2 linked regions of the Stegostoma tigrinum genome follow. The protein of the gene in region 2 binds, or shares a complex with, the protein of the main gene of each other region. Links are inferred from orthologs where the notes say so. Each region holds a gene or a part of one and is shown on either strand. Other genes may lie near its edges.

What was found. The genes of interacting proteins can lie anywhere in the genome.
Region 1: the proteins of ranbp9 (region 2) and gid4 are in contact, whole or in part, in a cryo-EM structure (PDB 7NSC), measured with the Homo sapiens proteins. The link is inferred for Stegostoma tigrinum from reciprocal best matches to the Homo sapiens genes RANBP9 and GID4. Residues at the interface, in NP_005484.2 of Homo sapiens: Ser223, Lys224, Gly225, Arg226, Asp227, Gly228, Tyr229, Met230, Gly256, Asp257, Thr274, Phe275, Thr276, Thr277; in NP_076957.3 of Homo sapiens: Leu187, Arg189, Asp194, Glu195, Asn216, Asp218.

The regions. Positions count from the first base shown.
Region 1 is NC_081376.1:25,766,781-25,774,319, reverse strand, and holds the start of gid4 (glucose-induced degradation protein 4 homolog), read left to right. Parts: upstream 1-4,444; 5' UTR 4,445-4,616; coding exon 4,617-4,772; intron 4,773-7,539.
Region 2 is NC_081355.1:38,960,998-38,968,514, forward strand, and holds the start of ranbp9 (ran-binding protein 9), read left to right. Parts: upstream 1-4,459; 5' UTR 4,460-4,550; exon of another isoform or gene 4,551-4,818; 5' UTR 4,819-4,828; coding exon 4,829-5,018; intron 5,019-7,517. UniProt on the Homo sapiens protein: May act as scaffolding protein, and as adapter protein to couple membrane receptors to intracellular signaling pathways. Acts as a mediator of cell spreading and actin cytoskeleton rearrangement.

The DNA of each region.
Region 1 (7,539 bases), on a different chromosome or scaffold from region 2:
TGCCATTGCCGAATGTGCCCTACAAGCAAGTGCCCAACAAGTGTTCTCCATACACCACATCGACTGTGTGGCATCCTTGGGTAAGGCGAAGGGTGGTGGGGTATGCTTCCTGAGCAATATCTCCTGATGCTGAGACCCTGACAAGCTACAGCTCTCCAGAACTAGAATACCTTATAGTAAAATGCCTCTCTATCCCACCTAAAATGCTGTCCCTACTACCTACCATGTGAGCTCACCTCTGCCATCCTGACAGCAGACTACATACCACCACATGCACCTGCAAAGAATGCCCTAGACGAGATTTATAATGCCACAAACACCCTAGAGACAAGTTTCCCCGAGTCCCTATTCATTGTGGTCAGTGACTTCAACCAAGCCAACCTCAAGCAGGTGGTGCCAAAATACCACCAACACATCTCCTGCCCCATATTCTGGACCAATGCTACACAACCTAAAGACACCTATTACTCAATATCCTGCCCACACTTTGGAAAATCCGATCACAGCACTGTCGTCCTAGCTTACAATCAGGAGCTGAAACATGACAATCCTTTACAAAATGAAGTACAGTGCTGGTCCAAGGCAGCGGCAGACCTTCTCCAGGACTACTTGGACTCGGTGGACTGGACCATGTTCAGTGGAAAACCTAGATGAGTATGCCACCACTGTCAGGGACTTCATTAGTTTATTGGGTGTGAACCAAAGAAATCAGTCTGTGTTCCCCAACCGTAAACCTTGGATGAACCAGGAAATCCACTCCCTACTGAAGACCAGACATGCAGCATTCAAGTCGGGTGACCCAAACCAATACAAGAAATCCAGATTAGACCCCCGCAAAGCCATCAGGGAGGGCAAGAGGCAGGTGGAGACCCAGACCTACCAAACAGACTCCCGCTGTCTATGACAAGGCCTAAATGACATTACGGGATATAAAATGAAACAGTGTAAGATAGCGGACAATGACACATCCCTCCCTAACACGCTCAATGCTTCCTATGCTCAGTTTGACACCTGTCCACACAGCCCCAGAAACACCTGTTCCCTCTGTCACCAATCTAAAAGTCAGATTGCTCTTCCTGGGAGTCAACTCGGAGAGCAGTGGGACCGGACGGTTTCCCAACCGAGCAGTCAGATCCTGTGCAGACCAACTGGTGGAGGTATTCACAGATGTCTTCAACCTCTCCCGCCCGCAGGCCACCGTCCCCACCTGTTTCAAGAACACCGTCGTCATCCCTGCACCCAAGAAAACAAATGCAGTGTGTCTTAATGACTACCGCTCAATAGCCCTGGCTTCAATTATCACAAAGTTCTTCGAGAGGCTGGTCATGACCCACAGTTTGCCTGCCGACATAACAGGTCCACAGAGGATGCCATATCATAGCCCTGGAACATCTGGACAACAAAGGCACCTTCATCAGGCTCCTGTTCATTGACTACAGCTCTGCCTTCATCACCATTATCCCTTCCAGAGTGATCTCAAAACTCTGTGACCTGGTTTCGGTTCTGCCCTCTGCAACTGGATCCTCAGCTTTCTGACCCATAGGCAGCAATTAGTGAGGATAGGTAATTGCACACCCTCCACAATAATATTCAAACAGGAGGCCCCCTAGGATGTGTCTTCAGTCCCCCACTGTACTCCCTGTACATCTATGAATATGTCGCTAAATTCCAAACAAACATCATCTACAAGTTCGCTGATGACACCACCACACTGGCACAGATACCTAACAACAACATTTCAAAATAGAGGGGAGACAGAGGCATTGGTGATATGTTGCCATGAAAACAATCTGTCTATCAACGTTGGTAAAACTAAAGAACTGATCATCAAGTTCAGAAAGAAAGGAGAAGAATATGCCCCCATCTACATCAACAGAATTGATGTTGAGAGGGTGACCAGAATCCAGTTTCTCAGTGATAATAACCAGCAACGTGTTCTAATTTTCCCATGTAAATGCAACAGTCAAGAAGGCACAACAATGCCTCTTCTCCCTCAGGCAGATCAGGAAATTTGGCTTGTCCATAATGTCCTTCACCAATTTCTACAGATGCACCATTGAAAGCAAACTGTTCAAGTGCACAACGGCCTGATAAGGCAACTGTTGTCCCCAGGACTGTAAGAAACTACAGGCGGTGGTATGCACAGCCCAGACCATCATGGAAGCCAACCTTCCACCCATGGACTCTATTTACACGGCTCGACTGCAGAAAGGTGGCCAAAATCATCAAAGACCTCCCTACGATCTTTTCCGTCAGGCAGAAGGTACAGAAGCCTGACCCCACACATGCAGGTTCAGGAACAGCCTCTTTCCAGCAGTTACAAGACTGTTGATAACAAAGTGTGGAGCTGGATGAACACAGCAGGCCAAGCAGCATCTTAGGTGTACCTAGGTGTGTTCCTAAGATGCTGCTTGGCCGGCTGCGTTCATCCAGCTTCATGCTTTGTTATCTTGGATTCTCCAGCATCTGCTGTTCCCATTATCTGAGACTGTTTGAATTGACTCTAGCCTCAAATAATGTAACCTGTATTTCTATGTCTTTTTGATCTGTGCATCCTTTGCTTGCTGTGATCTGCCTGTGTCACACGTAAACAAAGCTTTTCAATAAAAACCACAAGAACGGCAGATGCTGTAAATCAGGAACAAAAAACAAAATTGCTGGAAAAGCTCAGCAGGTCTGGCAGCATCTGTGGAGGAGTAAACAGAGTTAACGTTTTGGGTCTGGTGTTCTAAGGAAGGGTCACCGTACCTGAAACGTTAACTGTTTTCTCCTCTGCAAAGCTTTGCACTCTGATTATTTCAGTACATGTGACAATCAATTGACCCTATGGAGCAGGCTCAAGAGGCCAAACAGCCTACTTCTGATACTATGTCGTTTGGTTTTATCTTTCTACTACTTTAGTTTTCTCTAATCTTATTTGTTGATTTATTCTTAGATTTTTAATGTCTCTCCCTTCCTGTCGCAGTCTGTTTATGATTTCCCAAACTAATACCTTTCCTTTTTTCCTTGTATATTTTCTTTGATTTAGCATGCCTTCCCAAAAATGATTCATTGGCCCCAGTAATTAGTTTTTAAATTCCCTCTACTCCCCTACTTTATACAGCTCATAAGAACAGCAGCCGGGTGGAGTCCAGACAGAGCTTGGCCCAATGGTATAGATCCCACTTTACCCAATACAGGTGTCAAAGGTCCATGAACGAGTACTTACTTCTCTAGCACCAGACTTTGAGCACAAATTCATCTCTCTAATTTGATTTGAGCCCATGGCTCAGGTAACAATCCTCAGATCATGACCTTTGAATTTCTTCTTAGTTTTGTGTCGATGTCATGGAGCATGACAACTAGATCTTCCCCCTGCAAATTCCACTTCACCACCATTCATGAATGGCTGTGACAGGACTGAACAGTGTTAAACTGATCTGTTGATTGTGAGATATATGGCTTGCCCTGTTGTATGCATGTCATGTTATACTGTAGTTGTACCAAGTTAGCACTCATATTTAGATATATGCCTGGTAAAACTCATAACACTTCTCATTGCATCCCCATTTAGGTCTCCATTAAAAGACTCATCAATTTAAAACCCTCAACTTTTTTTCAAACTCCACCTTGGTCCTGCAGTGTTTCTATAATTCCCTCTATCGCCACAATCCTCTGAAATTTTACACTCCTCTAATTCTGCCCCCTTGAGTATGCTGGATGTCTCCTTCTCCACGATCAACGTTTGTTTTCTACAATGCTCCAGCTATGTAAACTTGACATCTTGTTTTACACAGACCAGAGATAAAAAGAAAAGTTTATATGAAAGCAACGTAGGTGTAACAAAAAAGTGTAGATCCTGGAAATCAGAAACAAATTCAGAAATTGCTGTAAAAACTCAGCAGATGTGGCAGCATCTCTGGAGAGAAAGCAAAGTTAACATTTCAGGACCATTGAACCTTCAAAACTCAATATGTAATATATAAATGCTAAGAAGGTGTTTAGTGAGAATCGTCCCCCGGAGGACGATTCTCATGGTCAAAGTCAAGACTTACAAAGCCAACGAATCTCTGCAGGCATTTCCTACAGCAGGGCAGTGAGACACGAGATAACAAGGTGTAGAGCTGGATGAACAGAGCAGGCCAAGTAGCATGAGAGGAGGAGGAAAGCTCACGTTTCAGCTTTGCTGCTCCTAAGATGCTGCTTGAGCAGCGACGTACTGCCAGTTGTGACATTATTCAATAGGAGCAGATAGTCAATGGGAGCGAGACTGACAACTAAGCGACTATATCTCCCAGAATGCCTCGGGGGGCTGCACATGCGCAACAGCTGAACGTCTACCGTCATCCGAAGGTGACGGCATGCCTCCCCTCTCTACCAATGGGAAAGTGCCGTTGTACAAGGTCGGCGGTGACGGCAGAAAGGAGCCAATGAGAAAAAGCGATGCTGGCTCCGCAGGCGCCGTCTGTGGGAGGTTTGCGGCCATCTCGCGTTGTCAGGGTTTGACGAGGAGAAGTGGCGGTTGTAGTGGCCGAGTTTGCCTGCGATATTTATTTAAGCAGACTTCCCCCTCCCTCCCTTTACCCCCTTCCCCCTCCTTCCCGCTTTCGGGCGCTGGGCCGGGCTGACATCGCGCGATGCCCGTCCGCACTGAGTCGGCCTCGCTGATCCCGCCGCCCCCCATCAACACTCAGCAGCCTGGGGTCGCCACCACGCTCCTGTACAGCGGCTCCAAGTTCAGGGGCCACCAGAAGAGTAAAGGCAACTCGTATGACGTGGAAGTTGTGCTGCAGGTAACATTCTAAGTGCGCATCAGTCCTTTAAACCTCTGCTCACTCCTTAGGAGGAGGATCGGTATCACATCGAAACTCACTGTTGACATTCGGCTTACAATTTGTTTCTGCCTTGTTTCCTGTAAACACTATGAATGCCAGCACTCAGCGGATAACCTTCTTTGCATGTGTAAAAAAAAACAGATCAAGGGAGGATAATTTTGATCAGCAAACCCGTTCCCTCTCTGACCCGGTCTGTTTGAGTTTCTACTGAGTCATTTTATAAAATTACCGTATAGTGCCTGCCTGTCTTCGATGTTGTTAGAATCAAAAGTGGCAAATGTTGGAGGCACTCTGGGACAGTATTTGTAGAGCAACAGTCCGATTCATGTTTTCAATACTAATCCTCATTTTGCTCCTATAACGTAGGAGATCAGTAATTTGATTCTGTCCTTTTTATATTTGTTTTCTTTCTTTCTTTCTTCAGATTAATTCTGATACATGTTCTGCTTGTAGTAATTTTGCTTTATAGATTTGTGTCTTCTTTCCCAGTCACTCCTCATTGGCTGTCATCGAGTTACAGTTGAAAATGTTCCATAGAATCACTACAGTGTGCAAGAAGGCCATTTGGGTCATTGGGTTCACACCAACCTTTTCTGAAGACCATCCCATCCTGACCCTACTCTATGCCTGTAATCCTCCAACTCTCATGGCTAACCCACCTAATCTACACATCCCTGGACACTGGGCAGTTTAGCATGGACATTCCACCTAACCTGCACGTCTGGACTGTAGGAGGAGACCAGAGCACCCAGAAGAAACCCCTGCAGACACAGGGAGCATGTGCAAACTCCACATAGTCTCCTGAGGTTGGATTTGAACCCGAGTCCCTGGTGCTGTGAGCCACCATGATACTGTACTCTTTATAAACCTTTTGAATTGGTTATCTGCAATATCTATTTTTTTCTGTAGCTTGCAGACCTAAGTTTGCTACTGCTAGGAATGTAAGTAGGCCGTTCAATCTCTTGAATCTGTTCTATCATTCTAGCTGGTAATGACTGGTCTACACCTCAGTAATTACTTGCTGATGATGTGTATTATTTGGTACTTTTACCTAATAATAAGTATCATTATCTGTGTTAATATTTCAATTAACCTATTCAATGTTTCAAATGAATTTATTACTTTTTCTGTGGGGAATAACATCCTTCCTGAGTGATCTCACTGTAATTTTATTTTGAACTGCAGGAGTGTTTTTCTGCCTGCACTGTGCAAAATCATTTTGATTACCTTGCATCTCCTGCAACTTACTAAGTTTGAGAGAGTACAAATCAAATTCACACAGAGTATTCATAATTCAGCTCTTCTAAGCCCAAGTATCTTTTTGTTGAGTCTGTGTTGCACTTCCTTGAACACTAATTTACCTTCCCTGTAATGTATCTACAGTACAGAAGGAGGCACAAGGCAGGTATAGACAGCTGAGATCAAGTGAATCAGCTGAGGATATAAGGACAGCTGGAGTATATTCGAGAGCAAAAAAGGGGATACAAGACAGCTTTAACATATAGGTTTAAGGAAAACCCAAAGACATTCTACAGATGCACTAAGTGCAAAAAAGTTAATTAGGGAGAGAATAGAGCCCCTTAAAGATTAACAGGACTATCTACGTTTGGACCCACAAGAGATGGGTGAGATACTAGGGTATTTCAAGTCAGTATTCACTGTGTAAAAAGATACGGGAGCTAGAAAACTTGGAGAAATGAGTAGTGATATCTTGAAAAGCGCCCACATTACAGAGGGGGTGATTCTGGATGTCTTAAAAAGCACAAAAGTGGATAAATCTCCAGTACCTGATCAGGTGTATTCCCCTCAATGGGAAATGAGGGAAGTGTTTTCTGCGACCATTGCTGAGATATTTGCATCATCGATGGCTATGGGTGAGATGCCGGAAGACTGGAAGGTGGCCAATGTGCCATCATTTAAGAAGAGTATCAAGAAAAGCCAGGGAACTATAGACTGAACCTGATGTTAGCGGTAGGTAAGTTGTCGGAGGGGATTTGGAGAGACAGGATCCGCATGTATTTGGAAATGCAAGGTCCAATTAGGGATAGTCAACATGGCTTTGTGCATGGGAAATTATATCCCGTTAACTTGGTTGTTGCTTCTTCAATAAGTTCAAAGAAGATTGAAACCAGACCAGTGGATGTTGTCTAAATGGATTTCACTAAGGTGTTCAGCAGGGTTCTGCATGGTAGACGAGTTAGCAAGGTTAGTACACATGAAATCTAAGGAGAGCTAGCCATTTGGATACAAAATTGTCTTGAAGGTAGGAGACGGAGGATGGTGGTGGAGGGTTGTTTTATCAATTTTTGGAGGTCTGTGAACAGTGGTGTACCACAAATATTGGTGTTGGGTCCTCTGCTTTTTGTTCATGGTATAAATTATTTGGATATGAATGTACAAGGAATGGTTGATTTGTAAGCTTGCTGGTGAAACCAAAATTGGTGTTGTAGTGAACAGTGAAGAAGATTATCTTAGGGTACAACAAGACCTTGAACAGATGGGCTGAGAAAGAGCAAATAGAATTTAATTTGGATAAGTGTGAGGTGTTGCATTTTGATAAGGCAAATCAAGGCAGGACTCATACTGTCAAGTTCGTTTTCAGAGACCCTCACAGACTTGATGCAATAGCAAGACACTGACCTGGCTGCAAAGACACAAGCCTTTACTATTTAGCAAGTGCAAGCTGTGGAGGATTGTTGTACTCAACCTGGCACAGAGCGCTGAG
Region 2 (7,517 bases):
ACTTGTTCTGATGGCCAGTGGTGGCAGTGGGAGAGAGTTCTGAGAGCCTGAGGAAGCAATGGCACTGAGACTTGAGGCTTTGGGGAGGGAGGCCCACTTACGGGGAAAAAGACTGCCTTATGGAGATAAGACTTTTAGATCTGGATGCTTCATATTACTTTCTTGGCTCCTGTTTTTTTTTTGTATTTCTGCTTTTTTAAAAATTCTGTTTTTTGCCTCTTAGTTTTGTTTTAAATTTGAGGTTTTGTATGTCGGATTGTGCCAGAGAAGGGTGACTTTGTACACTTTTTACTGTATTCCAATACTTCTGTATTTGAGTACATGACAATAATTGGGAAACCCCATGATATTCAATAGAAGTTATTGGTTTTCAGTGAAAATTCTGGTCATTGTTGGTTTTGACATAATAATTGGAGCAGTGAATGCTGGCCTACTTGACTACTGAGATCAGTGTTTCAGTCTAGAAATCTCCATTTATGTTGGTAGCAGCCCTATCAGTTTTGTAGTAACAACCTCAGTGATTGAGCCAATGATCAGTGGTCTAACAATGATGTAACTGCACCAAACTGCTCATTTTTAAATTGACTGTTATTGATTAGGAGTGTGCTTCAAAGGGCAGTACCTGCACACAAACACACCATTTAGTAGCAGAATACTGAAAGATGTGCACAAGTTGTTCTGCTTAACTCCCACTGCTACCACAGGCCCTCACAACTCACATTCTATGTTGCCTCCACACCTTATGCCAACTCCTAATTCTTCCGAGTAGGCGTTCCGGATATAATGTGATATTGTAACATAGAAGAAATCATTACTGATAATGATATGATTTGTGAAATAAAAATGAAAATATGTATTCATTGAAATATGTATTGTGTCACCTATTGGACATGACCCATTGAGTAAGTCATTTTAAGAAAGACGGCCTTGTTAGCAGTACTTTCATCTAATCATGCCAGTTTTATTTAGAATGAAGTCAGTATTATGAACATTAGAAATGTGACTGACTTGAAATAGACTGGTAAAAACAGCCAGAAGACAAGCACTCAATGGAAGAGTAGAAGATTAATCCTACTTATCCCTTGATCAACAAAATTTTTTCAGTTTTATGAATGATCATCTCAACCTAAAACACCAGCCTTGTTTTTCCAATGGGACGCTTCCTAACCTGCTTTATAGCTCCAGGTCTTTTTTTTGTATTATTTCAGATTTTTGGTATCAGGCTGTATTTTGCTTTTGTTTTACAAAGCAGATTAACTGGTTGTTATCACATTGCTACTGGGAGCTTACTGTGTGCAAGTTGATTGCCCATTTCATGCATTTTAACAGCAAATGTAAATGGAATTAATGTAGTTTGGTGTTTGTTGGTCAGCATAGAGTTGCCAACAAAATTCCAATTTTTCAAGGATTAGGATTTGTTTAACCAATTTTAAAACTGAATTGATTCGCTTTTATTTTGCAACTGCTGGCAAAAAAGAATTCTACAGGTCAAGCTATGCTATAGGCTGCTGGAGCTTCAGCTAAATTACTTGCATCATTAACATTTCTTAACCAAATCCAAGCTCACTTCCAATATTTATAGAGTTAAATACAGCTCTTTTTATCTCTTCAAACTAGAATTCAATTTCCCACTGGAGTGAATAATTTAATTCAACAATCTAAATGAAAAGAGCCAACTGTTGGTTGTGGAAACCCAGAATAAAATACTGCTAGGATGAAAACAGCTCTAATTGGTAGCCTCACCTCTGATCTAGAGGGTTCCTGAACCAGGTCTAGAATGCATGATGTGGGCTGATGCTCCAGTGTAGTATGAATGCTCTGATGCGTTCACCTTTGCCATCCATTTGAAATCTAAAATAAAGGTTTTATTTGCGTGTCCTGCAAGTCATTTCAAGAAACCATGGCACTGAAGAGTAGGGAATTCTCCCGATGCCTTGACAAAGTTTTCTGTCAACCAACACCAAAAAAAAATCAATGGTCATTAATTTCATTGTCAATGGACGGTAGTGGTCATTAGTAACTGTTCCATTTTGCTTTTCATAAATCACAAATTTCAAAAAGCACTTGCACATTTTTTCCACTTGGCAAAGTACAATCAAATTCAAGCGGCCATTTATCAACCATCTCTAGACCTAGAAAGAGGTTAACAAAGTCCCACTGATTGTGCTGTTATGTGATAATTCAATCTCCTGAAGTGCTTGTTTTAAGAGTAAAATAAGATGCATATTCTAGAATTTTATTACCTGTTTTATATAATGCTTGGAGTGATGAATGATATGTGATATGTGGAATTCACCAAAAATCCTCAGATGACCACTTCCATCTAGAAGGACAAGGTAGCAGATATGTGGGAACACCATCAACTTCAAGGTCCCCTCCAGACCACTCCCCATCCTGACATGGAAATATTTTACTATTCCTTCATTATCTCTGGGTCAAACCCCTGAAATTCCTTCCCCAATAGCATTGTAGTTCAACCCACAGCAAGTATATTGGACTAGTTCAAGAAGCTGCTTACCACTGCCTTCTCGAGTGCAACTAGGGATGGACAATAAATGCTGTCCAGGCAGTGACATCCACATCCCACAAATGAATTTTAAAAAGTGTAAAATTTGCCACAGCAGAGAAAGTAATACTAAATTCCAACTCAAACACTAGTTGCCATGCAATCTAGTTGCTCAGTGTCAAGTGTGAGACCAGCCAGAACTTTCACCAACTAAATATAAATGAGGCCAAGTTGTTTTTGTTGCAAATAGAGAGACCTAAGGGTTCAGGTACACAGTTCTTTGAAATTGGCATCATGGGTAGACAGCATGGTGAGGAAGGCATTTGGCATGCTTGTCTTAATTAGTCAGAGCATTTGGTACAGGAGTTGTCGTGTTGCACCTGTACAAGACATTGGTGAGGCCACTTTTGGAGTACTGTGTACAGTTCTAGTGGCCCTAGTATAGTAAGGATATTATTAAATTGGAAAGGGTGCAAAAAAGATTTACCAGGTTGTTACCAGGACAGGAGAGTTTGAGTTATTACAAGAGGCTGGATAGGCTGAGACTTTTTTTCCTAAGAGTGTAGGAAGTTGGGGGATGACCTTAGAGGTTGATGAAATAATAATCAAGGCCTTTTCCCTAGATGAGGGGAATTAAAAACTAGGGGGCGTAAGTTTAAGGTGAGAGGAAAAAGATTTAAAAGGTACATGAGGAGCAACTTTTTCACACAGAGGGTGGTTCATATGTGAATGAACTGTCTGGTGAAGTGGTTCATGCAGGTACAGTTATAACATTTAAAAGACATTTGGACAGGTAGACAAAAAGGAAAGGTTTAGAGAAATGTGGGTAAAACACAGACAAATGCTTAATTTGGGAAATCTGTTTGGCATGGACAAATTGGACTGAAGGGTCTGTTTCCGTGCTGTGTACCCAATGACCCTATGACTCAGAGATGGTGGGCTTAAGGGCCTGTTTCTATGCTGCATGCCTCTGTGACTCTACAGACATTTCAAGTATTCTTAAACTATGTTATAAAGTGCTCTGTAATGTACTATGATCTTTGAAGGTCCAAAATAGACATTATTTTATTTCTTTTTGAAACACAGCAAAAGCAGACACCACCATCTCAAGTGGTGTCAATGAATCTCCAATCTCTTGGGTCTCAGAAAAAATGCTGTTAATTACTGCAGATACCCCTCCAGCAGTGCTGCTATCCAAGCCTTTATCTTGCATACCTGATCTCACTCTTATCCTAATTCCTATTACAACTCTGCTCCAAGCATAACAATGATCTTTGTGTCGTTTGCCATTTCAATTTTCCAAATTCTGACCATCTTGACTTTCCTGTCTCTGGGCAGCCATAGCATATTAATTAAATTCAATGTAAGCTCAAACAACACCACATTTCTGGACTTGGCAGTTTACAGCCTTCTGAGCACAAATTTGGATGATGATCGATTCAGAGAAAGTAGGAACTACCGATGCTGGAGAATCTGAGGTGACAAGGTGTGGAGCTGGACGAACACAGTAGTCTAAAGCAGCATCAGAAGAGCACGAAAGCGAAACGTTATCTTTCCTGCTCGAGGCTGCTGTGTTCATCCAGCTCTACACCTTGTTAACTCTTATGTTTAGATGATGGTCAGTGCTTCTTTTTTCCAACTGATGTATATCTGTTTTATTCCTTCACTTTCCACTCTGATGTTCAGCCATGCACAACTCGTCTGTACACATCTTTTGCTTCTTTACCCATTATTGTGGAATGTTTTGCCATTTAATCCCTCCTCACCCCTTATCCCCACCTCTCCAATTCTGCATTGCTTCACTCCCTCACCCTGTCTATTGCATTCATTCCTTACTCGCCTCCCTCCGGAGACCCCCCTCATAGGAAGTTAGCCTCTCTGCAGCATTTCCCCTGCCCCGAGCTTAGCCCCGCCCCCCAGCCGCGATGGTTTAGCGTGGGTGGCCAATGAGGAGCGGGTTGGGCAGCGGCGGCCTGTCAGTGAGCGGAGACAGGCGGACATAGAAGAGAGTCACTCAGTCAGATTCGGATGCAGCAGCGACTGAGTTGGGTTGGAGCTGGAGTTGGGGACGGGGACGGACCGGGTGGAGGGAGGCAGGCTGGCTGTCGGTCGGTCGGGCTCTCAGTGAACGAACGGGCTGAGGGCTCATAAGGCGCGGCCGTGGAAGGGAGACGGCATCGGTCGCCGTTCCGGGTTTCCAAGTCTCGTCATCCGGGGCTCGGAGCCTGATCCAGACCGTCTCCGGCCCATTATACATCCACCCAGAGCTCAGGCTCCGGGTTTGGCCTAACCCCTCCTCCCGTCCTTCACAGATCCGCACCCATGGCTGGGCTGTCGGCGGCGCACGGAGAGTCGGCACTCAACCTTCAAGAGAAGGAGCTCACCGACCGCTTCAAGCGGCTCTACCCCGCTGTCAACGAGCAGGAGTCGCCGCTGCCGAGATGCTGGAGCCCAAAGGATAAGTACAGCTACATCGGCCTGTCTCAGAACAACCTGCGGGTCCATTATAAAGGTAAGCGGATGGCCCCTGGCACCCAGGGACGTCTTGACACTGGTACTGAGCCCAGCTAAAGAAAAGGCAAAGAGGGTGGATGGCAGCTACAGTTTATAGGCACCGACTACCAGGCCCCTGGCCTTACATAGCAACAGTTAACACTGATACGAGAGGCCACCGAATCCCACCAAATACCTATACAGGGGTGTCATATAGCCACATTAGTCACATAGAACTATCTGGAATAAGATGAGTGCCAAGACTGATTACATGCACCGACTGTGAACAGGCCAAGACTTGTACACCACAGTTTGGAACATACACTTCCGTACACAGTGAGGAAATGAGTTGGGGAGTTGGGGGTGGGGCGAGCGGTGTGGCGGGCGCGGTGGTGACGGGCCTTGAGCACTATGTCCATAAATGACATCTGGGCCATGGCCTGTTGAGATTATTTGTTGAATACTATCAACAGAATTAAATACAGTTGAAATATTTGCTTTTAATTGAGTGTGAAAGAGCCCTCGCGGTAGAGAAAGATCTGATCTTAAAACTTATCTAACATTTTAAAAATACACGTAAGTAGAAAACAAAGCTAGTTCACGAAAGATCTCCATAGAGATAGACATGACCCTAACTAGTCAATGATTGTGAATTTTGGGTCACCAGTTAACTATTATTGAGAGTATGTGTGTAAGATACTTCTAAAACGGACATGGATTGTAATAAATCCAATGTGTGGTAGAGGGACTGTTTTGCAAGTGTCTATAACATTCAATATATAAACGATACATTATGTGAACAACTGGCAACTTTAGTTTTAAAAAAAACAAAATGAAGCCCTTTAGCCTCCAACCAGCAAAAACAAATCAGTATCGACTGTTAAGGAAGAGCAATGGATTGCAACGAGTTGCAATGTGACCTTTTCCCATCTTTTCAAAAATGAGGACTAGAGAATGACCTAAGTTTTAATTCGGTTTGAATAGAATGAGTGACTGATTCCCATTGAAAATGTTTGTTTGTGTCCTGAGTAAGAGGAGATTGGGCAGTGGGCTGAGTTCTTGGGAACCTTGCATTGCAAACCCCATTGAATTTCTGTTTTCTTTGTCGAAGGATCCAAAAGCAAGGGTAGGTTGAAAACTGAGAAGAAAGAGAAAAAAGTTAGAAGCAGATTATTTCAGAACACAGCTTCTAAATATTAATTTCATGTCAGGGTGTATCTCCAAATAATATAGAATGGATGAACTGGCTTGGAGCCAAGAATTTTACAACTATAATTTTGGATATTTTTGTTCATTATGTTTGAAGTGGACTTGTTACAGTGCAAAACTGAAGCTGGTAACAAATCAATAATTTTCTTTAATATATTAACAAATCCAATCACTGCTTTGAATTCTTTGATCATATATCACAGTTTTTGTCTGTGAATCCTGGGTAACTTTATACTTACTTTCTTAATCTGTTAAGTTTACAAACTCAAATTATTGTTAAAATAACCTTAACGCTGTAGTTTCCTTTATTTATCCTGCTAAACTGTTTCTTTACAAATGTCATGCAGCCTCCTCTCCCCTGTGTACTCAGATGTCAGGGTAATATTATCTGTGCTTTTCATTTGAGGTATCATTACTCAGTGATGTCATTTAATGCAAAATGTTCCATTCTGCAGAATGACACCAAAGCATGACTGCAGTTGTTTTTCAAGTAAATTATTTAGACAGTAGAGTACTGTATCTATTGCTCCTCAGTGACCACTCTACAATAATGTTTTTGTAAGTCTTGGCATTGTCTCTGCTTAATGTTGAAGGTACCTTCAGACCTTCTCGCTAGGTTACGTCAATTGTTTGTGTTTTGCAGTGATTGAACTTAAATTTTGGAAATGAAAATCTAAAGATTAGCTGCATTTTGTTCAACCCTCATTCTTTGGTTTTGCACTCTAGGTAAATCTACTCATCTACAAATAATACCAGGAATCTTTAACTTCTGCTTGAACTATTGGGACATGATCAAATCTTGCTTTCATTCAAAGTGCAGGACTTCTGATAAAGCCTTGAGAGCACACTGAAGTCACAGCTAGCTTTTGTGCTCAAGTCCCTGAATGAGGTTTGAATTCTCAACCTTCAGAATTCAACTAAAACCAAGTTGACGCCTCGCCCATGCAGTATCCATGAAATTAATTATCCGCAGGCAGTCAGTTGGATAAAACAACATAAAGTTAGACCCTATATGACTTAATATGCCTCCAGTGTCAAAAATTTGCAGATGTTGGACTCTGTTTCTGGCATTTTCACTTACAGGTCAGCGAGTATTTGAGAATTCATACAACTTGAAATTTCAAACATTAGATTAGTAACATTTTAGAAATGTGGCCTTTCTGTGAATAAAGAGTCTATACTTGAAATTTCAACTTTTTTAAACAGATGTTTCCTGAACTAGTGACTGCTTGCAGCGATTTGTCATTTAACCCTTAAAAGTGCCAGATAATAAAATAACAGGTGTGATTTGTTGAGGCAACAATGTGGA